7 linked regions of the Mus musculus genome follow. The protein of the gene in region 1 purifies or fractionates together with the protein of each later gene. This does not show direct contact. Links are inferred from orthologs where the notes say so. Each region holds a gene or a part of one and is shown in the gene's direction. Other genes may lie near its edges.

Region 1 (3,500 bases):
CTTTCCACAGGGAATCTATTAGATGTAATATTAAAATCTATATATACCATTACTGGATGTTTGTGATTGATAGGCTTATACATTTCAATATTTCATACCTGTACTTCCTACATAGTTTATGCACCAAATTTTTATTGCCTAAAATTAAGCATCAATAAATGGGGTGGCATTTGCAGGCTGTGGCTCTCCTGTGCGAAACCCATAATAGAGAGTGACAGTAGCGATCTATGCTGAATTGTAAACCAGCCCAGAGTCTGGTTTATTTAGCTATTAGAGAGTCACTCCAGCATTTGAGGTTTTGTAGTGGTGGTGGTTTGTTTTTCAGTAAAGGTTGAAAACTGGAGAGCTTTTCTTTCCTGGGATGTGAAGACATAGCTCACCATCTGTGATACCCAGACCTCAGTGGCCGAGGCTTCCCCTAACATTTAGTAATTAGAATTAATGCTGTGTGGCTATTTATTTTTCTTTCTGCCCCATTGCTTTGATCTGGTCTCCAAGGCTGAACAACTTGGATAAGTAAAGCCGAGTTCTTTCTGCATCACCAGCTGCACTTTGTTCTCTGCTGATTTGAGTCTCAAAAGCAGAGATAACTCAAAATCACTTAGATTTACAGGCAGATAAAACAACAACAAAAGGAGGTTAGGCTTCAGGCCAATCAAAGTCCTGGAAGACAGTCCCCACTGGTCAATGACACTGACCAGGCTTATCATCAAAAAGCCACTTGCAAGGAGTGGCACAGCATCTTTTAGGCACCTTCCACTTAGAGCGGTTCCTTAATGTGATTACACTTCTTGGAAGATAATTAAGTCTAGCAGGAGCTCCCAGGGGGCTGTGTTAACATCAATTGAGGGGGTTTAATGTTTTTAATGCTAGAAGACCTCTTTCTTTGGAAGGAAGTTTGGGTGTGAGGGAAAAGCATCTCAGATCACAGTAGGCTTTCTGTGGATGTGGTGCTCCTGCAGATTAAAGAGTGTTCCTTAGTGGTGTGGTGTACTTTGTGTCTAGGGTCACACGGAGGGTTTATGGGGGACACTTTGGAGTTCTCTTAACTGACAGAATGTTTGCTAATTGTCAATACACATGTAAAGCTAGAAGACTCAACTGGTTGCAGGGAAGAGATCTGCTAACATGTCATTTTTGTTGCAGACAAATGTGGCGGGACCATAAAAATCGAAAACCCAGGGTACCTCACATCTCCCGGTTACCCTCATTCTTACCATCCAAGTGAGAAGTGTGAATGGCTAATCCAAGCTCCGGAACCCTACCAGAGAATCATGATCAACTTCAACCCACATTTCGATTTGGAGGACAGAGACTGCAAGTAAGTGAGGGAGTTTGAACAGGGCGCCATAGCACCATCTAGTGGTCATGAGTATCCGTGCTGAGAAAGTAAATGAGCGGGTCCGGATGAGCTCAATTGTGAGTGGTGTGGAAATGAAGTTACAAGTGGCTGAGTTCACCCAATATGTCAGGCTGTGTTTAAATGTTTGTCCTCCTTCTGTTGACACGTTTGGTTTGGGAAATCTTTTGTTAAGAAATGTGTGGTGTGTGGTTCTTTCTGGAAAGGGTTTTGAGAAAAGGCTTGTGTTTTCTTAAGTATTGTGGGTCACCAGTATACATGATCTGCAGATGGTGGAGTCGGGTGTTTTTTAAACAAATCTGTGGCGCATTTAATGATTTTTAGAAGATTTCTCATGGCTGGGGACTATAGCTCTGTGGCAGGAGCTACTCCAGCACTCTGATCTGAAAGATTGTATCGAGTTTGACATGAAAAAAGCAAGTGAATTAAAGGGTTTGTTATTATCGCTATTTTGTTTGGTTGGTTGATTGTTTGATAATTTGTTTGCAACAGGGTCTCACTATGTAGCCCCAGATGTCCTGGAACTCATTTTGTTGTTCTGGGTGGCTTTGATCTTAGAGATCCACCTGTCTCTGCCTCCCAAGTGCAGACATTTGCTAGTGTGCTGAGCTTAAGCAAGAGTTTCAAATATTAGGTTAATTGTGGACATGTTTATGAATATGACTTTTTAAAATGCATAAATGCAATGAGAATTTAGGTGTGTATCGGGTTAGAGTCAATCTGCCTTACCTGTCTGTCTCTTTCAACTTGAAGTTACTAAATATTGGTCTATGAAAAGTTTCATTATCCCAGTAACATTTTACTGTAGAGACCATCTAAATGATGCCCATACACTTTAAATGGAAATCCTGGTTGTAGATGTGGTATTTCTGCTTTTGCATTGTATGAGGTGGACTTCATAGCTCAATGCTCTCCACATCCAGGACAACCTCTTAGTGTCTTGCCCACATGATCCCATATGATTTCACTCTGAAGTACTTTAAGGGAGTTAGGTCTCCAGTTTGAGCTTGAATAGTAATCTTGATGAAGACATGGGCCAATTCTTACTTTGAACTTAGCCGTGTTGGAGACATTTTGAATGGTGAAAGCTGCTCTGTTTCATACTTTTATTCTTTTGTAGAGAACAGAGTGATATGAAAACATTCCCACATGCACAAAGGATTCAGAAATCTGTTGATTTTGTAGTGTGGTGACAACCAGATTTCCATAGTCAGGCTATCAAGATTTCTACTTTATTCAGCTTTATTCATTGTCTAGTGAATTAACAGAAACCTATAGACAGAGGATGCATCTGTGAATGATTGACATACAGGCCTGCATTCTGATTCCAGTTTATTCAAGTCCCAGCATTGGGTTGACTTTTATTTTGTCTCCCCTCCCCCCCTTTGGAAGCAGAGGACTGAACCCAGGGCTCTACCTTGGGCTAAATCCCCAACCGCTAGATTGTAGAATTAATAGTGTTCCAGTGCCTTCTAGAAAACAGGGCATTGTTTCAAATATGTTGTTGTTTGGAAGTTCTGGGGGTCAAATCTAGGGCTTCATGCATGCTAGGTAAGGGCTCCATCACTGAGCCACACCAGACTTATTAATATTCTTTGTAGTGATTATTATAGTGCTAATAGTGTAAATAACTTTGAAACTGTGTTGTTGTATATCTTTTTACATCTTGACAATCTGCTATAGGAGATATTTTCAAGAAACTCTGGCAACACATGCTTCCCTTCAAAATAAAGTATTCTTAGATTTCAATAAGCTCACATTTACCGATTTCTGACCAGGAAAGTATGACCAGGTAACTGTGTGACAGAATGAAGTCCTCTGAGTAGTCCTAGTCATCAGAGGTGGTGTGGTAACAAACATTCATCAGCCATGCTGAGGAGGAAGCAGATCAGGTCCTGGATTGGGATTTTGCTCATTTTCATGTCTCAATCGTTCCACCTGTGGACATTTTCCAACTTCTTGTGTGACATCACCTCATATACACTTGCAAAAAAAAAAAAAAAAAGGAGGAGGGGAATGTGTATACAGCAATGGTTCTGAGAGCTGGCGCATGCTGAGCCCAGGACATCATGCAGTAGAAGCTTGGGAGCAATGCTAACTGATAAACTCTATGTGTAGATAGTGCTTTTATGTCTCCTCC
Region 2 (4,045 bases), on another chromosome or scaffold:
TCTCTCTCTTACCAGTCGCTGAGAATTTTTAAACCATTTCTAGAAATGCACACTACGGCAGAGAGACCAGGAAATGAGCCCAGGGCTCCCACAAGCCACACACACTAGGAAGCAGAGAGAAATAGGCATGGTCACTCAGAGATGCTTAGGGAGAGGAGGCAAAAGGGGAGGAACAAGCGACAGAGAGCCTGCATTCCTTCCTAGGCACAAGCAGCCAACAGCACACCCAGGCACAGCTGAGCGCCCGCTGCAGCTGGTATGGAGGGATACTGTGTGTTTGGGTGGTCTTTCACACTCCCAGAACCTCTTACATGTGCCCACACCTTCATGCACACAGCTCCCTCTCATATGAGCTTCTTATTCTCAGTTGCCCTCTTCTGTATACCTACATCCTCACACAAACTTTCAACACCTATGATCTCCCACACTGTCCTGTCACAAAAGACTCTGGTATACAGTCTTCCACAATCTGTTGTGTACAGGCACACAATTAGACACAGGCTTTTATAATACTCTATCAGACAGGGTCTCATGCATCTAATGGTCTTTTTCATATAATCTCCTGTAAGCACTTGGTTACAGTCTGTTACAATGTTTCTTACACACACTTTCTCACAACACATAACTTCCTCCTCCTCCTCCTCCTTCTCTCTCTCTCTCTCTCTCTCTCTCACACACACACACACACACACACACTAAACACAACATCTAAGTGTGTGTATGTGTGTGTGTGTATAGTTACTCACACACAATCACACATGGGCTCTCACATGCATTAAAAACCTGTCAGATACAATCTCCCTCATGCACCTATGGCCGATTTCATACATAATCTCCCTCATGTAGTCTGTTACAGTGTTCCTCACCTCTGACACTCTCTCTCTTCCTCTCTCTCTGTCTTTTACACATACACACACACACACACACACACACACACACACACCACAGGATATCTGTCTGTTGTGTACAGATAGTTACAGATACACAATTTCACAGATGTCATATACTTTAATAGGTGTCAGACACATACAACCTCCCTCAGGAGCCTATGGCCTCATTCATAGTTTCATGCACTAACTGGAATAATGCTACACCTCCCTTGGTTCCGCCCCTCCCTGGCCCCGCCCCTCCCAGTACCCTGCCCAACCCACCAGGTCCCGCCTTCATTGGGCCGCGGTCCGCTATGGCCCCGCCCCTCCTCCCGCCCCCGCCCCCGGGGTTCCGCCCCCGAGCTGGGGGTGGGGCGAGCGGCTGACAGGAGGGGCGGGCGGCTCCTGCACTTCTGGCCCCCAGGCCGGCGGGCGCGCTTCTAAGGATTCCCGTGTGCGTCGGGAGTCCCGGTGTGGCCAGCGGCAGCCGTGCGGGCGGCCGGAGTCGGCGGTGGGATGTGCTCGGCCAGGAAGCTGCTGCGGGGCGGCGCCGGCAGCGCCGGCGGGGAGTGCGACGAGGACGGGGCGGCGCCGGCCGGGCGGGTTGAGGAGCCGGAGCACGGGGCGAGCCCGCGGCGCCGGCGGCCGCAGGACGAGGGCGAGCAGGTGAGCGCGGGCGCGCGGGCCGCGGGGTGGCGGCTGGGCACGCGGCGAGCGGTTGACGGGCGGGGCCGGGCTCGGTGGAAATGCCCTCCGGAGCCTCACCTCAAAACCACCCGGCAACTTGCGCTACGTGGGCGCGCCGTGCGCTCGAATTCCGAGCACTGCACGCGCCCTGGACGGGGTGGGCGGACGGCCCGCACAGAGGATCGGGAAGCACGGGTCGGTGCCTAGGTGACACCGGGACTCTCCCAGAGCAAGTTTCACAGCACCACCGAGCAGAGCTGAACTTCATTTTAGAAGTGGAAAGGAAAAAAAAAAAAAGAAAATTGCCTGCTGTGAGCACCAAAGGGAAGGAAGCTTTAGTAACAGACATAATAAGGAAACTGGGTACTTTTAAAGTTCTCAGAATTGGATATCATTGAGAAGACTAAGGGAAATTATAACATCAGATATCTGTAAGACTAGACTAGCAGTTGAATGTAAAGATGGAGTTCTACGTGGGACGATTTTTTTTTTTTTTTTTTTACAGGCAGTACAGTAATTAGCTACTCAAAAATCCCCCAGATACAAAGACCTTTAGAAATCACATAAGTAAGCCTAGACTTCTGGAATCATCAGTTAATAATACCTGTAACTTGTCCTCTAATATCACTAAGTACATTAATAACTAAATACATTAATAAAACCCATTACTTAAGAAACAAAAATAATGCTAATGTGGGCTTGATCACCGTGTAGACAGTAATTATTCATCTATGTGACAATATAGGAGCCAGTGACTGAAGCAAATAAATTGGTAGCTAGGAGATCTTGCTGGTGCCCTTGCGGGCGGTGTTCTTACCAAACTGTACCATGCATGTCTCAATAGAGAAGGTCTTGATTTCCTCTTACTCTTGCTCAACTGGAAAACACAGCCAGCAACTAAAACTCCCTTTCCAAAAGTAAATGTGCAAATGGTTGTAATGGCATATGTGAAATCCTTCCCTTAACCATCTCTGGACCTTAGCAATACAATGACATGGACAGCGCCAGGAACTCTAGTCTTACTGATATTGTTACTAGAACAAGGAAAGGGGATGAAACAAAAAATTAAATATACATTCTAGAGAATAGATACCCTATCACATGCCTGCTTCCTCTATTGTACTATGAAATTTCATTTTCCTGCCTGCTTCTGCATGTTGCTTGTGTCGTTGTAATTTTGCTACATACTTTACCTGTATACTCTTAAGTCCTCACACTCATGGAAAAAAACACACCTGAGATCCTACTATATCAGCACCTGGGAACTTCTTATCAGGAGCTCAGAACTGGTACAGCCCAACTCGATAATGCAGAAAGCAAACTTTTGTGATCAATCGTTTGGCAACAGTATCACAAAGCCTATCATCTAGGGTTTTGTTTTGGTTTTTTTTTTTTTTTTTTTTTTTACAACCTGCAAATGAAATTTAAAAATCCATGCAATGTCACATAGATAGAGCTGTTTTTGTACACATACTATCTGAAGGAGAATTAGAGTTAACAACATAAAACATTCCAAAAAGTCATTTTAATTTTTCATCATGGAGATATTCTCCTGTTCTTCTTTTTGGATTGGTTTTAAGGATACCAGAACTCCAAATTATAAATTGAATAATTCTGGAAAATTCCTTTCTAAACTATTTAAAATTTACACAGAATTTTTCCATAGAAAATCAATGACAGAAACCAAAATGGAAGCAAAACTAGTTAGGTTGAAAGGAGGCAGTGGCCGTTTTCCTGCCGTCTTTCTGCTTAGTGTATTCAGTTGCTTTTCCAGAGCCTCAGCCTCCTAGACATTGAGAGGGAACTGAAGGCCACAGCCCTCTGCAATGCCTTCTTCTCTTGGGCGGGGCCAATGTGGTGGGTTCCAGAATCTGCTTTTTGTCAGTTCCTAATCTTACATGTTCTATCCTGTTCGCTTTCTGTTTCCTTTTCTGATAAGAAGCAGGCTGGGTTAGTTCCCAGCCTACAGTCTCCTCATACATCTCTCCCATCTCTGCCTTTCTTCTGTCTGGAAGGCCCATTCCCTCAACCTGGAAGACTTGTATAAACATGTATCCAAAACTTCTTTTCCCTCTGCCTTGTTGTTGCTAAAACGCCCGATCAGAACGCACCTTCACTTTACGTCCTGAGATTCTGAAACACGGCTGTGGATACAGGTGGTTTATTTGTAACTAACATATTGTCAGCATCATACTTTACAGTTTGTCCTTAGCCGAGACTCCATTTGAGGAAAAGCTAAGCTAGCATTTCAGCCTGAATCCTTTCCCAGGCGGGATGAGTGACAAAAGAGGTCTTGTTAAAATCAAGGATTCCTTAAAAAGGAAGCCTTGAGAAAAAGAAGCTGTGTCCCACGAGAAGTACAAGGCCAGCCTCTAAGAGAGATAAGAATTCTAGAGAAGGAGTAATGTGTGTAGCTATCCAGGGAACCGGGGAGTCTAGACTTAGAGAGCTGTGTCCACATGAATTTGTAATTCTGTTCAGGAGAGATG
Region 3 (3,500 bases), on another chromosome or scaffold:
GCAGAATGGCCATCCTGAGCACTCTTGGGCCTGCTTGTCCACAGCCTGCCTCTGCGCTTCTGGGTGAATGTGATTAAGAACCCTCAGTTCGTGTTCGACATCCACAAGAACAGCATAACAGATGCCTGCCTCTCAGTGGTAGCGCAGACCTTCATGGACTCCTGCTCTACATCAGAGCACAAGCTGGGCAAAGACTCACCCTCCAACAAGTTGCTCTATGCCAAGGACATCCCCAACTACAAGAGCTGGGTTGAAAGGTAGGTGTCCAGCAGGGGCCATGCAGGGGCCACAGGTTGGTGGGTGAGTAGGCCCTGTGACCCCACCCATGCTGACCCTGCTACCTACTGTCAGGTACTATGCTGACATTGCCAAGATGCCTGCAATCAGTGACCAAGACATGAGCGCCTACCTGGCAGAGCAGTCCCGGCTGCATCTCAGCCAGTTCAACAGCATGAGTGCCCTGCACGAGATCTACTCCTACATCGCCAAGTACAAGGACGAGGTGCGTCCTTCCCCGACCCCAGTTCCACCTATGTCTCAGAGCTCACCCAATACTTGCTTTGCTTCTGTATCTGACAGCCCAGATTTTCCTAGGGCTAGTAAGAAAATCAGAGATTCTGGGCACAAAGAAGGCTCTCTGGGGCAGGGTGGGGAGACAGGGTGACAGTGGTTTCCTGGAATGGATAGCTGTGGTCCTATAGTAGTTTATTGGGCTGGATGGTATCTCTGGGCTTGGCAAAGGTTGCTCCTTGTCCTTTGCCAAGAAGCAGCTCCCCTACCTCTTCTCTCTGGGATAACTTGTCTCTGACTCTGGGCTGGAGCTTATGGGTACCAATAGCCAAGGACTGGGTATGTGTGGGCAGTGCTGGCCAAGGCAATGAGAGGGCCTGGCAGGCCAAGATCCATAGAGTCTACATGGCTGAGCTAGGGCCCACCTGGGAAGAGGCAGAAGATATACAGACCAGGGTGACCTAGGTGTGGAGGCTTGGAGCTTGGCTGTGTCCCAGAGCCTGATGGATTCTTATAGATCTAGACAGGCAGGGAGACCATGGTCTGCTTGGCTGTGCTGAGCCAGTGAGGTAGATAGCCAGGCAGCTTGTCTGGAGGTGGGAAGCCACAGAGACAGGTCTAAGATCGTGAAGCCTTGGGCTCAGAAGGGCTCCGGGTTCAAACCAGCCATGGAAGGGCTCACAGGTTGTAGTGATTAAGGGATAGGATGGGAGGCTGGGCCTGAGCTCCCACATAGACTGAGGTAGGAGTGTGATACTCGAGAAGACAACCGAAGAGCATAAGAAACCCAGCCACAGTAGAGAACAGTGGCCATGCCACATCAGAAGCAGGGTGTGGAACACTGCCGTAGAAGACTCCCAGAAGCCTGAGAAGGGCAAGGTGGGAGAGGCCATAGCCAGGAGCCACAGCCTGTTGATGAGGGAGATGAGGGTGGAGGTAATGAGCTTGGGGGCTCACCCTCAAGTGCTGTAGTACTCTGGATCAGAACTGTTGGCACAGCTAGGAACTGGGAGTCAGACACACCAAGGTCATGTGTCTTGGTCCAGCTGCTTCCCTTAGAGCTTCCAGCCCATATCTGTGGGTAGCTAACCCTGACTCTGACCCTATCCCACCCCTCACCCCACCCTTGCAGATTCTGGTGGCTCTGGAGAAAGATGAACAGGCTCGAAGGCAGCGGCTTCGAAGCAAACTGGAGCAGGTGGTGGACACAATGGCCCTGAGCAGCTGAGCCCTGGAAGTGCCCACCCAGCAGGAGGCAGAGCAGGAGGGCAGCAGAGGACCCAGGAGACAGCCCTTGGCCCACCTGTACCAAGTCCAGGTGTGGGGGCTGTGGTTGGGTCCTGGCCCTCGCCTTCCTCTCCCTGCCATGCAGGGCCAATTCTTATCGCTGTGGATGTAAGGGTTCCTGCTGAGCCGCCTCTGTGCCTGGGGCTTGCTGCCGTGGGGCAAGGATAGCACAGCGTGGCTGGTTCTGCCCAGGGATATTTGCTGCTTGGCAAGAGCTGCTAGTGGTTTTCCTGAGAGAGAGGTGGCCTCTGAGGGGCCGAGATAGAAGGCCAGGCCCTCCAGAAGGAGGGCAGCAGGACAAGGGGCTGGACCAATTCACATTTCTTGGCTTCTTCAGCTGCTACCAGCAGGCAGAGTCTGAGGGAGAGGTGAGATACCCAAGGCTAGGCCACATAAGTCACAGCCTGGGGCTGTCCCACCAGCCTCTACTCTAGCACCCTGTGCTTGCCACCACCCTCAGATTCACCGCGTGCTCTGCGCGGCCAAGGCTGGAGTGCCACATCCTTCTGCTGGGGAGAGAGGCCCCACTCCCCTCCTATGGAGGGCCTGCAGACCCCACTTCCAAGTGACATGTGGACAATGGCTAGGCGAACCCTTCTCTGTCCTCAGGGCTGTGCCTCTGGGAGCTCCTGGTCCTGGGGCTCCAGTCAGAGTGCATGTTCCCGTTATTTATTCCCCGCCTCCTGCTCCTATCGCAGCCCACCACGGAGCTCTGGAGGATAACAGGCCACCGTCCCACCATCCTTTATCCTCCCCTCCCCTGATGTTCCCGGTGGCTTCCAGTCTGGCCTCTCAACGGTGTCCTGGCCCCTCTGCAGTGGGACATCTGGGTACTGCTTTTAAGGGAACAAGAAATCCTGTGGTATTTTGCCCTGGGGATGTGGGGGGCATTTCTGCCACCCTGCTGACCATGGGCAGTGACCCAAGGGACTGGAGGTCAACTGTGTCCACCTCTGCCCTCAAGGAGCAACAGTACGTTTTTAATGGACCCTGTACATATATATATGTATGTATGTGTATATATATATATGTGTGTGTGGCCCTGGCCCCAATGGGGTGCTGTACAATTATTTGAGGGAAGAGACACGGAAAGGCAATTCAGGAGGAACCCAGGTGGAAGAGAGCAAAACCAAGGGCCCTGGAGCTGCCATCTGATGTGGCCTCTACTTCCCCCAGATGGAAGAAGCCGCTGCCCACGATTCCGTGCCCCGAGCTTTGGGTGCAGAGCTGTGGACCTGCATGACTGTGCTAGCGTTTAGTCTGAGTTGATCTTTTCAAACTGCAAGTGTTGAATACTAGAGGTGGTTAGACCCTTTTTTTAAATGTTTTTTTTTTAATTAGTCATTGGAAAAGCAAGCAAGCGGCCTACTCCCTTTTCAAGTTCACCTTTTTGATGGTACTAAAGATTATAATGGATTTTAAGGGACAGCTAACTGTGGCCAGGACCATTATCAGTGCTGGGGACAGCACACCCCACATCCATGGGCTGCTAGTCTTGTGGTCCCTCACACTCCAAGCTAGGGAGCCGATGGGACAGGGTGGAGGTCAGATTAGAGCTGCACCTTTATTAGCTATGGGGCAGGTACAAGGACTCAGGGAGCAACTCCTCTGTGGTAGTCATGAGCCTAGACACCCTGGGCCATGAATTCTGGTCAGACTCCCACCCCAACTCTTTGGCTCATTCCCTGGGCTGATACTAGGGT
Region 4 (3,500 bases), on another chromosome or scaffold:
TATTTGTTCTCTTGCAGTCATTATCTCCAGAACAGTAAGCGAAAGAGCCGGCCAGTGAGTGTAAAAACATTTGAAGATATCCCATTGGAGGAACCAGAAGTAAAAGTGATCCCAGATGTAAGTACATCTTTTAAAAATAGTCATAAAGATAATACTTGGGGTGAAATACTAGCTAGATAAATATTAGCCTAAGCTCTTGAGTTTTGGAACCTTATTAAGGCTGTCCTTGAGCATATGTGCCCTGGGGGAGGTCGATCTTTAGTTTTGCCGTATGAAAGGCACCTGGACCAAGGTTTGGGATAGTCTTAACTGTGTGTCCAACTTCACTCAAGTGCAAATGTTGTCGCCGTGCAGAGAGGAGACCCCAACATCCTGACCTTTCCTCTCTCCTTAGCCCAAGTCTACTTCCTCGAAGCATTTGCTTCCTTTGTGGCTTGCACAGTCGCTGGCTGCCATACCCTTTCCCTCTTTGGCATGACATTGAGTCCTATTGTCAGCTAGATGGATTGAGAAAGGAGTTTAAAGTAGCTGGTCACGTGCACACTCACTGTGTCATTTCACTGTCTCCTAAAAAGGACAGCCAGACAGACAGTGGGATGGTCCTTGCATCAGAAGAGCTGAAAACTCTGGAAGACAGGAACAAATTATCTCCATCTTTTGGGTAAGACTCAGCCTACTAAGGAAGAATATTTCAATACGTATTTTTGGAAGGGCATAATAAAGACATTCAGTGTAGATGTGGTTTCTTTTCTGGTGCCTTTGGAGGTTGATGACATTAATATTCCAAATTAGCAATTTGATAAAGAGGTAAAATAAACTAAGCCATGAAATTGGTGAGTCTGAAGAAAACCCTGAAGCAAGTTAGAGTATTTGGCCAATTTCTAATGACTACATTTGTGAAGGCTATGGGACTGATACGGGCCAGCAGAGTGACCTGTGGCTTCTATGGCCCTGGCCAAACTGCAAAGATGTCAGCAGGTACCATGATCCTGAAGAGTGAAGACTTTGCAGACTCTGATGGACTGTCAAACCTGTACTTAGATGGCTTTATCTGTAATTAAGAAAGATGATATATAAATACATACATATTCACTTATTTCATATATTTAAATATGATTCTTTGAGTCACTGCCTTTTCAGTTGGGGGAAAACTATTAAATTTATTCGAGTCATTCTTCCTTATGACTCAACAGGTATATATAGGCTTTGAATAAATGTACCTGATTTAAATATTAAAAAAATCTTTATGTTTCTAAGAAGAGTGGGATAAGAGTAGTTATTTGTTTGCTGGCAGGCTCATTCTAGGTAGGGAAAACCCAAGATTTGATCTACACACCAGAGAGCTGCTGTACGAGGTGGGGTTCCCTATGGACTTTTGAGTGATGTCTATACAACAACAGTAGCCACAGTAAACTTGGCCGTTTTCTTTAAGGCCCAGCAAGAAGGCATGGGCACCAACCACATGCTTCTTTCATTGACTCAAACAATAGTGACTCAGAGCTATTAGGTGGCCAGGATCATGCCTCTGTTTGAGACACAAACTGGTTTGGTGTGGGAAGTGAAGAGCGGGGCTGGGAGGGGAAACATACTTGTGGTTCTTTGAACTTACATGAAACCGTATTTGAACACAGAGTAAACAAACTCTCTCTGTGGCTTTTATCATGAATAATAAGAATAAGACCCCTTCGAGGGCAAAGCCCGAGCTTTTCGGTCCACACAGCCCACGTTTGTTAGCTTTGACATGACTACTATGTCATTGGAAACATTCTCCAGTTGCTGCTGAGTGACTGAACCCCCAATTTGTCCAAAGAATTTGGTTTGGATGAGTAAAAAACAGTTTTTGACATGTCTGGCCTGACTGTACACTAGCTTTTTTTTTTTTTCTCCCCCTCTACAAATTTATTAACATCTTTTATAGACCACTTAGCTCCCTAGGTGACCGAACAGGAAAAACACAAATGAACTTTTAGACCATCCCGATATCGTTTAATATCATGAAAGAGACCCTGTGACTTCTATCACTGTAGACAAACTTGTCAATCGTCAAGGCTGTAAAACTCTTCCATTGGTTGGGGGCTCTGCATACCTCAGCAGAACGGCCTTTTATCTCGTCTCAAGCTTGAAAGACTTGGACCCGAATAAGAGGACTTATCTGCGACTACTAGCTCATGCCAGTACCTGAGAGTAGACCTTGTCTGAGGCTGATTAGGGAATGAGAGAGAGGGGCTAGTGTCTCTGGAGGGGATTCTACTTCCTTGAGCTCGGGCTTTGGTGACTGTGTAAAGCAAATGAGCCGGCTTCCCTTTTTAATTCATTCGCTTGCTGTTTCTTCTACAGTGGAATGATGCCCAGTAAAAGCAGGGAGTCTGTGGCCTCGGAAGGCTCCAACCAGACCAGTGGCTACCAGTCTGGGTATCACTCAGATGACACAGACACCACCGTGTACTCCAGCGACGAGGCAGGACTTTTAAAGATGGTGGATGCTGCAGTTCACGCTGACTCAGGGACCACACTGCGCTCACCTCCTGTTTAAATGGAAGTGGTCCTGTCCCGGCTCCGCCCCCAACTCCTGGAAATCACGAGAGAGGTGCTGCTTAGATTTTCAAGTGTTGTTCTTTCCACCACCCGGAAGTAGCCACATTTGATTTTCATTTTTGGAGGAGGGACCTCAGACTGCAAGGAGCTTGTCCTCAGGGCATTTCCAGAGAAGATGCCCATGACCCAAGAATGTGTTGACTCTACTCTCTTTTCCATTCATTTAAAAGTCCTATATAATGTGCCCTGCTGTGGTCTCACTACCAGTTAAAGCAAAAGACTTTCAAACAGTGGCTCTGTCCTCCAAGAAGTGGCAACGGCACCTCTGTGAAACTGGATCGAATGGGCAATGCTTTGTGTGTTGAGGATGGGTGAGATGTCCCAGGGCCGAGTCTGTCTACCTTGGAGGCTTTGTGGAGGATGCGGGCTATGAGCCAAGTGTTAAGTGTGGGATGTGGACTGGGAGGAAGGAAGGCGCAAGCTCGCTCGGAGAGCGGTTGGAGCCTGCAGATGCATTGTGCTGGCTCTGGTGGAGGTGGGCTTGTGGCCTGTCAGGAAACGCAAAGGCGGCCGGCAGGGTTTGGTTTTGGAAGGTTTGCGTGCTCTTCACAGTCGGGTTACAGGCGAGTTCCCTGTGGCGTTTCCTACTCCTAATGAGAGTTCCTTCCGGACTCTTACGTGTCTCCTGGCCTGGCCCCAGGAAGGAAATGATGCAGCTTGCTCCTTCCTCATCTCTCAGGCTGTGCCTTAATTCAGAACACCAAAAGAGAGGAACGTCGGCAGAGGCTCCTGACGGGGCCGAAGAATTGTGAGAACAGAACAGAAACTCAGGGTTTCTGCTGGGTGGAGACCCACGTGGCTGCCCTGGTGGCAGTGTCTGAGGGTTCTCTGTCAAGTGGCGGTAAAGGCTCAGGCTGGTGTTCTTCCTCTATCTCCACTCCTGTCAGGCCCCCAAGTCCTCAGTA
Region 5 (3,500 bases), about 33 Mb from region 1:
TTATTTTAGTTCTAGAGTTGACAGGGCTTTAGGAAGAAACTACAACAGTGGTTTCTACGTCACTTCTTCATGATCATTCCAGTCCAACTAGCCCTAAGAGATACACTTGGGGCCCTCCAACTCTGGCTGTCACAGCCAGTGTTAGCTTAATAACCAGTTAGAGCAGTGTGCAGTGCTTCTGCCTGGAGGGAGCCATACATGTCCTTCAGTGTTGCCTGGAGCTCATGTTAACAGCCGTGAGTGATGGGGGAGTGTGTTCCATATGTAAGTAGCATGGAGGCAGAAACAAGGTTGAGTTCTGATGATCTGGAGAGAGTAAAAGACCAGGGTAACTTAAAGGGAAAAACTCGGAAACATTCCAAGTGCTCCAGAAATGACCTCATCTGCAGTTCTTGAAGTGTAGTCTTCCATGGGTACACTCCTACTCTATGTGATCAAGTACCTGTTATAGATACGTGCTGTGGCCTCACCACAGGCATGGGCATGTCCAAGGGCATCTTTCATGGTCTGTTTCCTCTTGTCTTTCTTATAGCTCCGACTGATTGATTGGGGTCTGGCAGAGTTCTATCATCCTGCTCAGGAGTACAATGTTCGAGTGGCCTCGAGGTACTTCAAGGGACCAGAGCTCCTTGTGGACTATCAGGTGAGCGTGTCAGTGAAGCTGCTCTGCTCTGCATTAATTTTATATTTTCTTAGGGATTTTCCTGGTTTGCTATGTAGTCGATGGATTCATACAAAACCCAGTTATTATTCTACTCTATAAAGCTTTTTCTCAACTACATTAAATTTTTTTTCATTATGTATGTATAAGCTTACTTGTACCACAGCCCACGTGTGAGGGTTAGAGGGGTTTGTTCTCTCCACCATGTTGGTTCTTGGCATAAGGATTAGGTTGTTGGGGTTGGCAGCCTTGGATACTTAGTCTACCAGCTGAGCCTCTTGCTGCCCTTTTTTTTTTTTTAAGGAAAGAATGACTTTTAGTTATAACTTCAGAAAGGCTAAGAATGGAACTTGCCTGATAAGTATAAGACCCTAGTGCCTTAGAAATACGGGCCAATCTTCAGGAGTCAGATGAGTACTAGAAACTCCATCAGTACAAAGAGTTTCTAGCCATCTTTGACTGATCGACCGTCCTTACTGCCTTCAGATGTATGATTATAGCTTGGACATGTGGAGCTTGGGCTGCATGTTAGCGAGCATGATATTCCGAAAGGAGCCATTCTTCCACGGGCAGGACAACTATGACCAGGTGAGCAGATTATGTTATAAATGCTAGAGATATAACATTTGAGCCATGAATGTCACTCACTATATATGGGCTACCATGTAAGCTGATGAGTTGTTCAGAATTGTGTCTGTGGTACAAAATCCCAAAGCATGCAGACATTTGCTGTCTATGCTGAACCTTCAAGATGGGTCTAAGAAATAAGGTATCTCTTTGTTGCAGTAAATCTCCAGCCCCAATATGTCCGAGCAAAAACCACACAACTCAGTTACAGCATTCACAAGCTGCACAGCTAGATTGGGCACATTTACCGCTACACTACTCTGTCGCCCATCTATGAGATCCCTTGTTACTTGCGGCTTCTCCAGGCCACGTGGTACTATTCCATCTTCCACCTCCTCTTCCTCTGTCTTTCTTTCCTCTTTCTTCTCTTCCTCCTCTCTAAAACCTCCAGCCCCACCTTTCCCTTCCACTGCCCAATCACAGGCTCTAGCCTTTATCTGACCAGTTAGAATGAGGAGAAGGTTCACATGAGATCACCTGAGCACATGATCCACTCCTTATTCGGGCAGCCCCTCTTGAGGAAGCAGAGTTAACATCAGAATACAAATAGCACCAGGGCAAGCCACAATGTTTCCCCCTTTTTGTACAATTAAAGGGCTCTCCCTTTTTTTTTTCCCCCTCGTATAAATTGAGTACAACTATTATGCAATTTAGAAAGTATAAGATATATTTAAAACCCAGTCTGTCATATTGTCAATTTAGATAAAACACTCTACCATCTATCCTAACTTTAAAAGCTTACAATTTTATATCTGAATTATATTCTGGTTTTAGCTTGTATTACCATCTGAAAATCATCCTCTCAAATCTGTATCATCTCTCTTAATGTTAAACAGTTTGAGTGCTATGAAACTATAACTAGTCTTCAACTCCATCAGAAATCCAAAAATGACTTAAATATTACCTGAAAATATAGGAAGCACAAGAGATAGCTTCCAAAATTTAAACATTTTGTAGAGACAGCTGACTACCTGGACAGTCCCTAATTCCTCAAAATGTTAGAGCTTCAGTCTCCAACATTTATACCTTAACTATTCTTAGTCATTTCTACTTGAGTAAATTAAAAACACTTTATTATAATTAAATCCGAATATATAATGAGCCTTCTGGCCCAGGATCATCTGACAGACTTTTGTAAAGCAGAATTGTGAAGGACTGCTTACCCTGTCTTGCTTGGCAGAGCTACCGGTCAACTATTTCACATAGTATGACCTTTTCCTGGACAGTATTTTTGTAGATGAATTGAGGCAATTTTTGCCTAGTGGTAATCTCTCCACGACTGGAGCAATTCTATTGATATTTAATTTTTTTCTTTGAACCAAGAAAGGGGTGTAGTCAGGAGCAGACTAGATTCTAGTCAAATGATCTTTAATAATGAAATGGCCTTAAATGTTGTATTCTGTGGACTTCTGTCCACAGAAGACTATCTGTCGGGGGCTGGAGAGATGGCTCAGTGGTTAAGAGCACTGACTGCACTTCCGAAGGTCCTGAGTTCTAATCCCAGCAACCACATGGTAGCTCACAACCATCCATAACAAAAGCTGACTCCTTCTTGAGTGTCTTTAAGACAGCTACAGTGTGCTTACATATAATAAATAAATCTTTTTTTAAAAAAGAAGACTGTCTATCTATTTAAAGTATATCTGAACTGTTATACCTTAACTATTCTTAGTCATTTCTATTTGAGTAAATTAAAAACACTTTATTATAATTAAATCAGAATATAATATAATCTAGCCCTTGACTTGTATTACTTAATCATCCTAAACACTGTTTTTACTCTTTTAAAGTTAAAAAAAGATTTATTTACTTATTTTAATACCTAAATACACTGTAGTTGTCTTCAGACACACCAGAAGAGGCCGTCAGATCTCGTTACGGATGGTTGTAAGGCACCATGTGGTTGCTGGGATTTGAGCTCAGGACCTTTGGAGGAGCAGTCAGTGTTCTTACCCGCTGAGCTGTCTCTCCAACCCCTAAACACTTTTTAACGGGAGTTATTAGAAGGACTGGGTCCAAGCCTTGTATTCTTAGAAGAGTTGTACAGGCACAATGCCTATCAAAGAGTAACAATAATAATTTTAAATCTTGTATCAATATAAGAAATTTAAATCTGTATTATTCTATAAATTGTATATCAATGTAAAATTTTAACTTCAAGTTGCATTAATTATAAAAATTTCTGCCAACGTAGGATATGGCTGTATAATTT
Region 6 (4,277 bases), on another chromosome or scaffold:
GTGGGAACACAACTGAGAAACAAAGGTATTAAACTGCATGTCCTGTTCAACTCGACTGAAATAAATGAGATAATCTTTTTAAACTTCCAGGACTCAGGAGGCAAAGGCAGGCAGGTATCTGTGAATTTGAGGCCAGCCTGGTCTACATAGTGAGTTCCAGGACAGAGCTAAACAGTGAGGCCCTGTTTCAAACAAAACTGGGTCACTGAGTATGTGCCAGGTGAGAGTGGCTAGTTCTCATTCTACAGAATCCCTCCACGTAAAAACAGCACGAGGGCTGTAGGGATGGCGCAGTGATGAAGAGCACTGACTGCTCTTCCAGAGGTCCTGGGTTCAATTCCCAGCAACCACATGGTGGCTCGCAACTATCTGTTAATAGGATCCGATGCCCTTTCTCCTGTGTCTGAAGAAAGCAACCGTGTACTCACATACATAAAATAAACAAATATGTCTTTAAAAAGCATAACAGCAGGAACAGACAGCAATTCAAGAAGGAGGCAGGGAAGTGCACTTCCGTGGTCAGCGAGGCTTTTTGGAAATCACAGCCCCCACGGACTACTAATTATTGCTGCTCTAGGCGGTCTTCCAGCCCATCACATGGCCTCAGGAAGATGCGGGGGAGGAGGTAGGAGAGAGCCAGAAAGAAGTAACGTGCTTTTGAGACTGGAGAAGCAAGGGATACCGAAGCCTGGGGAACAAGGCAACCCTGCGTAGGCACCTCAGTTCCCACGCGCCTCTGGGCTTTGACTCACCGTGTAGCCTTGAGTCGATGCACTTGCCTCGCTTCTCAGGACCTCAGCTTTCCTGTCTGTAAAGTGGAGGCGGCGGCGACGACAGCTTTTACACTGTGGGGCGACAGCCAAGTCACGAGATACAGCGGAGGAGAAAGGCGTTTTGGAACCTGCAAGGCTTGGGATGATGCATCGTCACGGTTCTGGTCCTGAGGAGAGGCAGCGGATACCCGGGCGGGGCCCGGAGCTGTGACGCGACTGAGACGCCCGAGTCCAGCAGAGATGCGCCCGCGCCCCTCTCACCGGCGCGCTCCCCGCAGCACCTCCTCCCGCGGGCTCCACCTCCAGGGCCCACTCAAGCTGGAGCTAGAGAAACTTTTACCTTCAGCTCACAGCGCCCGCACTTCCCCTGGTTCCCGCCGACAGCCGCTCTCTCACCTCCTACCCGTGGGCTGGCGGGAGCTGCATCTCTATGGTCCGACTGGGACTGGAGTGGCTCCTCGGGGGCCTTTGATGTGGCCGCCCCCGGCCCAGGCGCCTCTAGGAATCTGACGTGTGGCAGCCACTCTGTCTCTCTTCAAGGCCCGTGCTACTCTATGGTTTCCCCTCTATGTCCTTGAGTACCCCCCTTCTGAAGCCCCAAAGCGGAACCATCGAGAATTGCAGGGAAGAGTGGCAAGGACTCCGTGGTGGGTGTGGCCGGAAGTAGATGCAGCAGTCCGGGGCGGGACTAGCGGCGCTGCCTCTTCGTAGGCCCGGCGAAACCATCGAGTGTGAGGGCCAGAGAGTCATGGAGGGAAGGGGGCGGAGTGACAGATTTCTCTCTCCCACGTTCCTGGAAGCGCGAGCAGGTCTGTGTATAGGGTGTCCGGGAGTCAGCTGCTGTGTGTCAGGGTTCGGGAGCCGGGGGCCAGGAGATCTTCGTCAGCGGCTCTCCATGCAAAGGTGCTTTGGAATTCTGGATCACAGCTCCGAGCCTTAGCGGAGGTCACGGCTGTCAATTCACCAGTGGGCCGGTGTGCCAGGCAGAGGAGTGGCAGTGGAGAAGTGTTGCAAGGAGAGGTGTTCTGGAAATAATTGCCATTTTGTCCCCTTAGGCATTGTCTTAAGTTAGGCTTAGTCACATCTTAATTGGGTTGAATTTGAAAAAGGCTCCAAAAAAAAAAAAAAAGAAAAAGAAAAAGGCTCCGTGGAAGAAGTAGACTATATGATCTCAATGAAAAAGAATGCCTAGAATAAAGGGGTGGGGGTCATTCGGTACCAACAGAACTGAGAGAGCTAGAAGTAGGTAGTGATTTGCTAGTAAAGGTACGCATTCTAATGTAGGCATCCCTGCGTATCCGGCTGTGGTATTTGAACCCAATGGGAGCAAGGCACCAAGGGTGCTGGAATACAAGTGACAGAATTGTAGCGTGTCTGGGATTGGTGGGTTTGGATGATGCAGGTGCTGAAGGTCCATTCAAATATCACCTCAAGAACCAAAATAACTTGCAAGAAATAGTTTAGGTGAGAAGTAATAAATGTCTGTACAGGACATTAGGAACGGGGTGTAAGGGAGAGGATATTTGAAAGACATTTCTGATGGTAAGGCATGTGGTCATTGACAGAGCAATGGAAAAATCACCTTTGCCGATTCCATTCAGTGGGGACCCTTCTGTCTAGCTCTTGCCAGGGACCAGAGTCTTGCCTTTCTAGTATCCTGATGTGGAGCTGGGTACATTGCTTTTTGGAATTGAGAAACTCTCCAAAATGGCCTTCTGGCAAAAGGTCTAACTGAAGAGCAAAATGGATTGAAGAGCCTGGGGTGTTTGCTGTGGCATTCCAACACCATTCCTACTCCACTGAAACACAGTCCTGCTGACCTGTCCATCTTGCTTCTGTGGGAGGGAGCGGAGCAAGATTGACTGGTCTAGTTTCTATACTAGTCTTATGCTTTCTTCCAGTTCTGCTACAATCCATCCCTCGGTTTTGACAGTGCCTCAGAGCCTATAAGCATCTGTGCTGCTTCTTTTCAAGATGCCATTTTCAGACTTTGTTCTGGCCCTTAAAGACAATCCCTACTTTGGGGCTGGATTTGGGCTGGTAGGTGTGGGTACGGCTCTGGCTATGGCCCGGAAAGGAGCCCAGTTGGGTCTAGTGGCATTCCGGCGCCATTACATGATCACACTGGAAGTCCCTGCCAGAGACAGAAGCTATGCCTGGTTGCTTAGCTGGCTTACCCGACACAGCACCCGCACTCAGCACCTCAGTGTTGAAACCTCATACCTTCAGCATGAAAGTGGCCGGATCTCCACCAAGTTTGAATTTATCCCCAGCCCTGGAAACCACTTCATTTGGTAAGATAGGAAACTAGGTAGGGCTCTGAGGAGAGGGTGGATCGATGGAGGAAATTGGGTCACTTTGACAATTTTATTCAGGTATCAGGGAAAATGGATCCGGGTAGAACGAAACCGAGACATGCAGATGGTAGACTTGCAAACAGGGACTCCTTGGGAATCTGTCACCTTCACGGCCCTGGGCACTGACCGAAAGGTTTTCTTCAACATCCTGGAAGAAGGTATGAGATGGGACAGGCAGGCTATCAAAGTGGGGAGGTTGGGCATCTGCTGCTTGGAGAGGAGGAATAAGGATCCGAGTCCTTGGGAGAAGGGTACCAGGTCAGAGCTCTACCTGACTGAAGCATCAGCATGATCAAGGGACTGTTTTACTTCCTTGCTCCCAGCTCGAGCACTGGCCCTGCAGCAGGAGGAAGGGAAGACTGTGATGTACACAGCTGTGGGGTCTGAATGGCGTACCTTTGGTTATCCGCGCCGACGTCGGCCACTGGATTCTGTAGTCCTACAGCAGGGTCTGGCTGACCGAATTGTCAAAGATATCCGGGAATTTATTGATAACCCCAAGTGGTACATTGACAGAGGTAAGCAGCAGCTGGAATCTAGCCGAGTTTGTAGCCAGGTGAAGTTACAGGAAATTCTAGCTCAGGTGAAAGGGAAAGAAAGCTCGTCTATGAGAATATCTTTTCTGCCTCTAGGACCACTAGCAGGGAATGGAGCTGAGGGTAGATGTGGACACCTGGGCCAGAGTACATGATTCACTGTAGGTCTTGTTTATCCTGGTTATATCCCTAGGCATTCCCTACAGACGTGGCTACCTTCTTTATGGGCCCCCTGGTTGTGGAAAGAGCAGTTTTATGTGAGTAGTCAAATTTTCTTGACTTTGAGTAACAGCCTTTGCAGAAAAACTGGGCTGAAATTATTAGAAGAGGAATGAATCTGGGAAGCAAGGATCAGGATAAACATGAGATCCATAGATATATATCAAGTGAGTGGTATAGGAAACAGGCCTTTGCAGCCTACCTCCTAGGACTCCCGAAGTCTTCAGGTTGCCTAGGACCTCCTTCCATGTCACTGTCCACAGAACAGCCCTGGCTGGAGAACTGGAACACAGCATCTGCCTGCTCAGCCTCACAGACTCTAGCCTCTCAGATGACCGGCTCAACCATCTACTGAGTGTAGCACCACAGCAGAGCTTGGTGCTCCTGGAAGA
Region 7 (3,500 bases), on another chromosome or scaffold:
TGTTGCTCCTTAGTGCTGGTGCTAAGGCCTAGTATACCATCATGCCTGATTCGATATTTTAACTTTTTTTGTTTTTGAGACAAGCTAAGTAGTCCTGGCTGTCCTGAAGCTCAATATGTAGACCTGACTGGCCTTGAACTCACAGAAATCCTCCTGCCTCTGCCTCCCGAGTGCTGGGATAAAAGGGTATATGCCACCATACCTGGCAGTGCTTCGATTCTTGTAGAAGAAAAAGCTGTGTTTCATATTTTAAAACAGACAGGCATTCTGTCCCTCCTGAAGGTGGCAGCTGTGAGTCTCCTGCTGTGACTGTTGTGCAGTGCTCATACTTCCTTGGATCAGATTGTGTCACTTTCTGCCCAGTGGTAACACACACATTCAGTTTCTGTGACACTCTCTGGTCCCAAACCTTTGGCCTCCACTTGTGCTTTCCCTGCCTGGCTCACCATGTAGGTGAATTCATGGTGTTTTGATGGGGAGGTAGGAATTTCTGGGCTGAAAGGATTTTTTTGTAACTTTGTTCTTTTAAGTGCTGACAAAATGTCCCATTGTCCTTTAAGAGGAGTAGGACTGGGCAGTGGGCCTGTTTGTCCAGACAGCTGTGGTTTCCTGCTTTGCTCCCTGGTTTAGTAAGAGCAGCAGGGAAGGGGAGCTGCCTCTGCCCACTGCATGCGGGCTTTGCTCTTCACTGGCACCAGCCTGTCTGTATTCTGTCTCTGCCGGCATTTCTCCATGGTTCGCGTCGTGCCTTCCATCTTACATTTCAATGGTGCTTTTATTTTCCAGTAGCCATACACCACTCTGAATCCATTCATTGTCTCACCGATATAAGGTGTCACTTTCCAGGAGGTGGAGCCCAAGGGCTGGCTGGCCAGCTAGTCTAGCAATCTCTGAACACATGGCCTAGTGAGAGATCCTGTCCCAAAAAGTACAGTGGAGAACAAGTGAGGGAGACTGCTGGCCCCCACCTCCCACATGCACACGCACACACATACACAAACAGTGTAAGTGGAGTCAGACGATAGGCAGCAAGTGCCGTACGCAGTTACATGTCTCTCTGGTAGGACGAAGCGCCAAGATGTGTTAGCTGTTAACTGTGCCTTCTCTTTCTCTCCCAGAGCCTGGTGATGCACCACATAACTCCCCGAGCATCCTAGCTATGCTGGAGACCTTGCAGAACGCCCCCTCCCTGGAAGCCCACAAGGACATGATCAGGTGGTTGCTAAAGGTAACATTTCCACATTGCTGTGTGTCTTGAGAGAAGCATTAGATATTGGCTATTTATAATAACATTTCTTAACATCAGCATAACAGTGTTTGGGGTTTGTTTATTTCAAGATGTTTAATGCAATTAAGAAGATAAGAGAGTGTTCATCCAGCAGCCCTGTGGCCGAGGCGGAGGGAACCATAATGGAGGAGGTAAGAGAGCGAGGTAGAGGCGGGCTTGCCAGCCTGTGCCATTCCCCGGCTCCTCAGACGCCAAGGGTGGATCTCTGGGAGTTTGAAGCTAGCCTGCTCTACATAACTTTTTCCAGGCCAATCAGGACTGTTACATACTGAAGCTATGTCTCAAAAAAAAAAAAAAAAAATGCAACTAAACTAATAATGGAAACAAAACTTTAACAGGTTAATATGAACAAATTTTCTCTGCAGTAAAGCAGTAGTTAATATTCACAAACATTAAATTCCAAAAGATAGATAGCTCTTAGTGCCTATAGTACAGATGCTATGCTTAGGGGCAAAGACTGGGTGTAGCCTCTGTGTGCAGAATCTAGCTAAATGGAGCATCATTCCAGAGCTCAAGAGACAAGGACAAAGCAGAGAGGAAAAGAAAAGCCGAGATCGCCAGACTGCGCCGGGAGAAGATCATGGCCCAGATGTCTGAGATGCAGCGGCACTTCATTGACGAAAACAAAGAGCTCTTCCAGCAGACCCTAGAGCTGGACACCTCTGCCTCTGCCACTCTTGACAGCAGGTAACTCGAACAACGGCTTTTAAGACTTCTGACCGTTGGTTCTCTGTATGCTTTTAATTGAGTAAAGGTGGTGGGTAATTTTGTGGCCTCCAGTTAGTGGAGTTCACTCCTAGGCCAGGGAAATAGCGCCGGACAGGCAGTGAACTCTGCATGCTGGCACATGCTTGTAATCTCAGTGCTGGGGAGGCAGGCGGCTGGGGCAGTGGCCAGGCAGCCTGGCCTCACACGCCAGCTACAGGCCAGCGGGAGGTCCTGTGACCCTGGGCTGAGCCATGGCCCCACACACATGTGCACACATACACAAAGAGATCTCTGCCTCTGAGTAATTCATGTGTTCGCTTAAAGTGTTATTTTCTACAACGTACCTTTGACATGAAAGAATGAGCACGCTGGGCTGGCGTGTGTTACAGGCAGGTTGCTGTGAGTGGAGGTGGCTTTAAGCACATAAGAGAACCCTGCCACATCCTGTCATCAAGACCACGTGTTGTGTGTACCTATCTGGAGTCTGTCATTTAACGATTATAGAGAAACTTCTTAGGCTCATTCAGTATTACAGTCATAACCTTTGTATTGCAGCCCTCCCGTTTCAGACGCAGCTCTTACAGCACTGGGCCCAGCACAGACACAGGTCCCTGAACCGAGACAGTTTGTCACCTGTATATTATGTCAAGAGGAGCAAGAGGTGACTGTGGGAAGCAGGGCGATGGTCTTGGCAGCGTTTGTTCAGAGGTCAACGGTTCTGTCAAAAGACAGGACGAAAACCATCGCGGACCCAGGTAAGGTCTGCTGCATTATCGGATCAGAACCCAGCTGCCCTGACAGCGTACAAGCAGCCTCCATGCCAGGCCTCATGACCCAAACCTGTGATCCCTGCCCAGAGGCCAGAGGATTGCTGAGAGTTCAAAGCCAGCCAGGGCTAGAGTGTGAGGCTGTGTCTTGGCATAGCCCTTAGCATTTCTGCTTTGAGATCAGGGCATGAGGCATGATGGGGAGTTAGATTCTGTCAGCAGCCAAAGCTTCATTCCGATAGATCATGGTCCTTTATACTCCAGAGTAGATGCTCAAGTCCCTGTACAAGTTGCTGTAGTGCTGGAGAGAGAGCTCCCGGGCAGAACACTCGATCACTGCGAGGGAGGGTCTGGGTTTCGTTGTAATACTGAGATAGGGGAGAACCCCGCTCCATGCATAGGATTTGCATGTGACCTTGGTTCATCTTCCTAGGTACTTGATTTCTAGGTCACAGTTCAATGCTGTTTAATGAGAGAATGACAAGGACGTAAGCCAGGCAGCCGTGTCAGCATCTGTGGAGGGTTCCCCTGGACGTTTTGGTCTACCTTCTGTGACCCCACAGATGCAGAGCTCCTGGATACGGAGGGCCTGTTACTTAGAGCACCTTCAGTCTCACATTGCAGTTCAGGGCTACTTGAGTTTCACTTTTTAAGGTCTGAGAGTCTTACATAAATTAGTGCCATCGAAAGTTGGAATAAATTAACATTTCTTTACCTAAGTCTTCACAAATCCAGGG

What was found.
Region 2: the proteins of Nrp1 (region 1) and Fam241a purify together in Homo sapiens (affinity purification with mass spectrometry; 3 studies listed by BioGRID and IntAct, with this or other methods). This does not show direct contact. The link is inferred for Mus musculus from reciprocal best matches to the Homo sapiens genes NRP1 and FAM241A.
Region 3: the proteins of Nrp1 (region 1) and Plxna1 purify together in Homo sapiens (affinity purification with western blotting; 4 studies listed by BioGRID). This does not show direct contact. The link is inferred for Mus musculus from reciprocal best matches to the Homo sapiens genes NRP1 and PLXNA1.
Region 4: the proteins of Nrp1 (region 1) and Kdr purify together in Homo sapiens (affinity purification with western blotting; 7 studies listed by BioGRID and IntAct, with this or other methods). This does not show direct contact. The link is inferred for Mus musculus from reciprocal best matches to the Homo sapiens genes NRP1 and KDR.
Region 5: the proteins of Nrp1 (region 1) and Csnk2a2 purify together in Homo sapiens (affinity purification with mass spectrometry; 5 studies listed by BioGRID and IntAct, counting the BioPlex papers as one, with this or other methods). This does not show direct contact. The link is inferred for Mus musculus from reciprocal best matches to the Homo sapiens genes NRP1 and CSNK2A2.
Region 6: the proteins of Nrp1 (region 1) and Bcs1l purify together in Homo sapiens (affinity purification with mass spectrometry; 3 studies listed by BioGRID and IntAct, counting the BioPlex papers as one, with this or other methods). This does not show direct contact. The link is inferred for Mus musculus from reciprocal best matches to the Homo sapiens genes NRP1 and BCS1L.
Region 7: the proteins of Nrp1 (region 1) and Ubr2 purify together in Homo sapiens (affinity purification with mass spectrometry; 3 studies listed by BioGRID and IntAct, counting the BioPlex papers as one, with this or other methods). This does not show direct contact. The link is inferred for Mus musculus from reciprocal best matches to the Homo sapiens genes NRP1 and UBR2.

Annotation. Positions count from the first base shown.
Region 1 is NC_000074.6:128,362,073-128,365,572, forward strand, and holds part of Nrp1 (neuropilin-1 isoform 1 precursor), read left to right. Parts: intron 1-1,146; coding exon 1,147-1,321; intron 1,322-3,500. UniProt on the Homo sapiens protein: Cell-surface receptor involved in the development of the cardiovascular system, in angiogenesis, in the formation of certain neuronal circuits and in organogenesis outside the nervous system. Mediates the chemorepulsant activity of semaphorins.
Region 2 is NC_000069.6:127,893,524-127,897,568, reverse strand, and holds the start of Fam241a (uncharacterized protein FAM241A), read left to right. Parts: upstream 1-1,245; 5' UTR 1,246-1,385; coding exon 1,386-1,535; intron 1,536-4,045.
Region 3 is NC_000072.6:89,317,614-89,321,113, reverse strand, and holds part of Plxna1 (plexin-A1 precursor), read left to right. Parts: intron 1-44; coding exon 45-257; intron 258-351; coding exon 352-502; intron 503-1,642; coding exon 1,643-1,738; 3' UTR 1,739-3,500. UniProt on the Homo sapiens protein: Coreceptor for SEMA3A, SEMA3C, SEMA3F and SEMA6D. Necessary for signaling by class 3 semaphorins and subsequent remodeling of the cytoskeleton. Plays a role in axon guidance, invasive growth and cell migration.
Region 4 is NC_000071.6:75,933,456-75,936,955, reverse strand, and holds part of Kdr (vascular endothelial growth factor receptor 2 isoform 1 precursor), read left to right. Parts: intron 1-17; coding exon 18-117; intron 118-575; coding exon 576-661; intron 662-2,337; coding exon 2,338-2,533; 3' UTR 2,534-3,500. UniProt on the Homo sapiens protein: Tyrosine-protein kinase that acts as a cell-surface receptor for VEGFA, VEGFC and VEGFD. Plays an essential role in the regulation of angiogenesis, vascular development, vascular permeability, and embryonic hematopoiesis.
Region 5 is NC_000074.6:95,457,821-95,461,320, reverse strand, and holds part of Csnk2a2 (casein kinase II subunit alpha'), read left to right. Parts: intron 1-532; coding exon 533-643; intron 644-1,147; coding exon 1,148-1,249; intron 1,250-3,500.
Region 6 is NC_000067.6:74,586,812-74,591,088, forward strand, and holds the start of Bcs1l (mitochondrial chaperone BCS1), read left to right. Parts: upstream 1-1,477; 5' UTR 1,478-1,582; exon of another isoform or gene 1,583-1,676; intron 1,677-2,674; 5' UTR 2,675-2,747; coding exon 2,748-3,067; intron 3,068-3,148; coding exon 3,149-3,288; intron 3,289-3,453; coding exon 3,454-3,648; intron 3,649-3,859; coding exon 3,860-3,923; intron 3,924-4,148; coding exon 4,149-4,277. UniProt on the Homo sapiens protein: Chaperone necessary for the incorporation of Rieske iron-sulfur protein UQCRFS1 into the mitochondrial respiratory chain complex III.
Region 7 is NC_000083.6:46,955,033-46,958,532, reverse strand, and holds part of Ubr2 (E3 ubiquitin-protein ligase UBR2), read left to right. Parts: intron 1-1,118; coding exon 1,119-1,228; intron 1,229-1,338; coding exon 1,339-1,419; intron 1,420-1,796; coding exon 1,797-1,975; intron 1,976-2,551; coding exon 2,552-2,751; intron 2,752-3,500. UniProt on the Homo sapiens protein: E3 ubiquitin-protein ligase which is a component of the N-end rule pathway.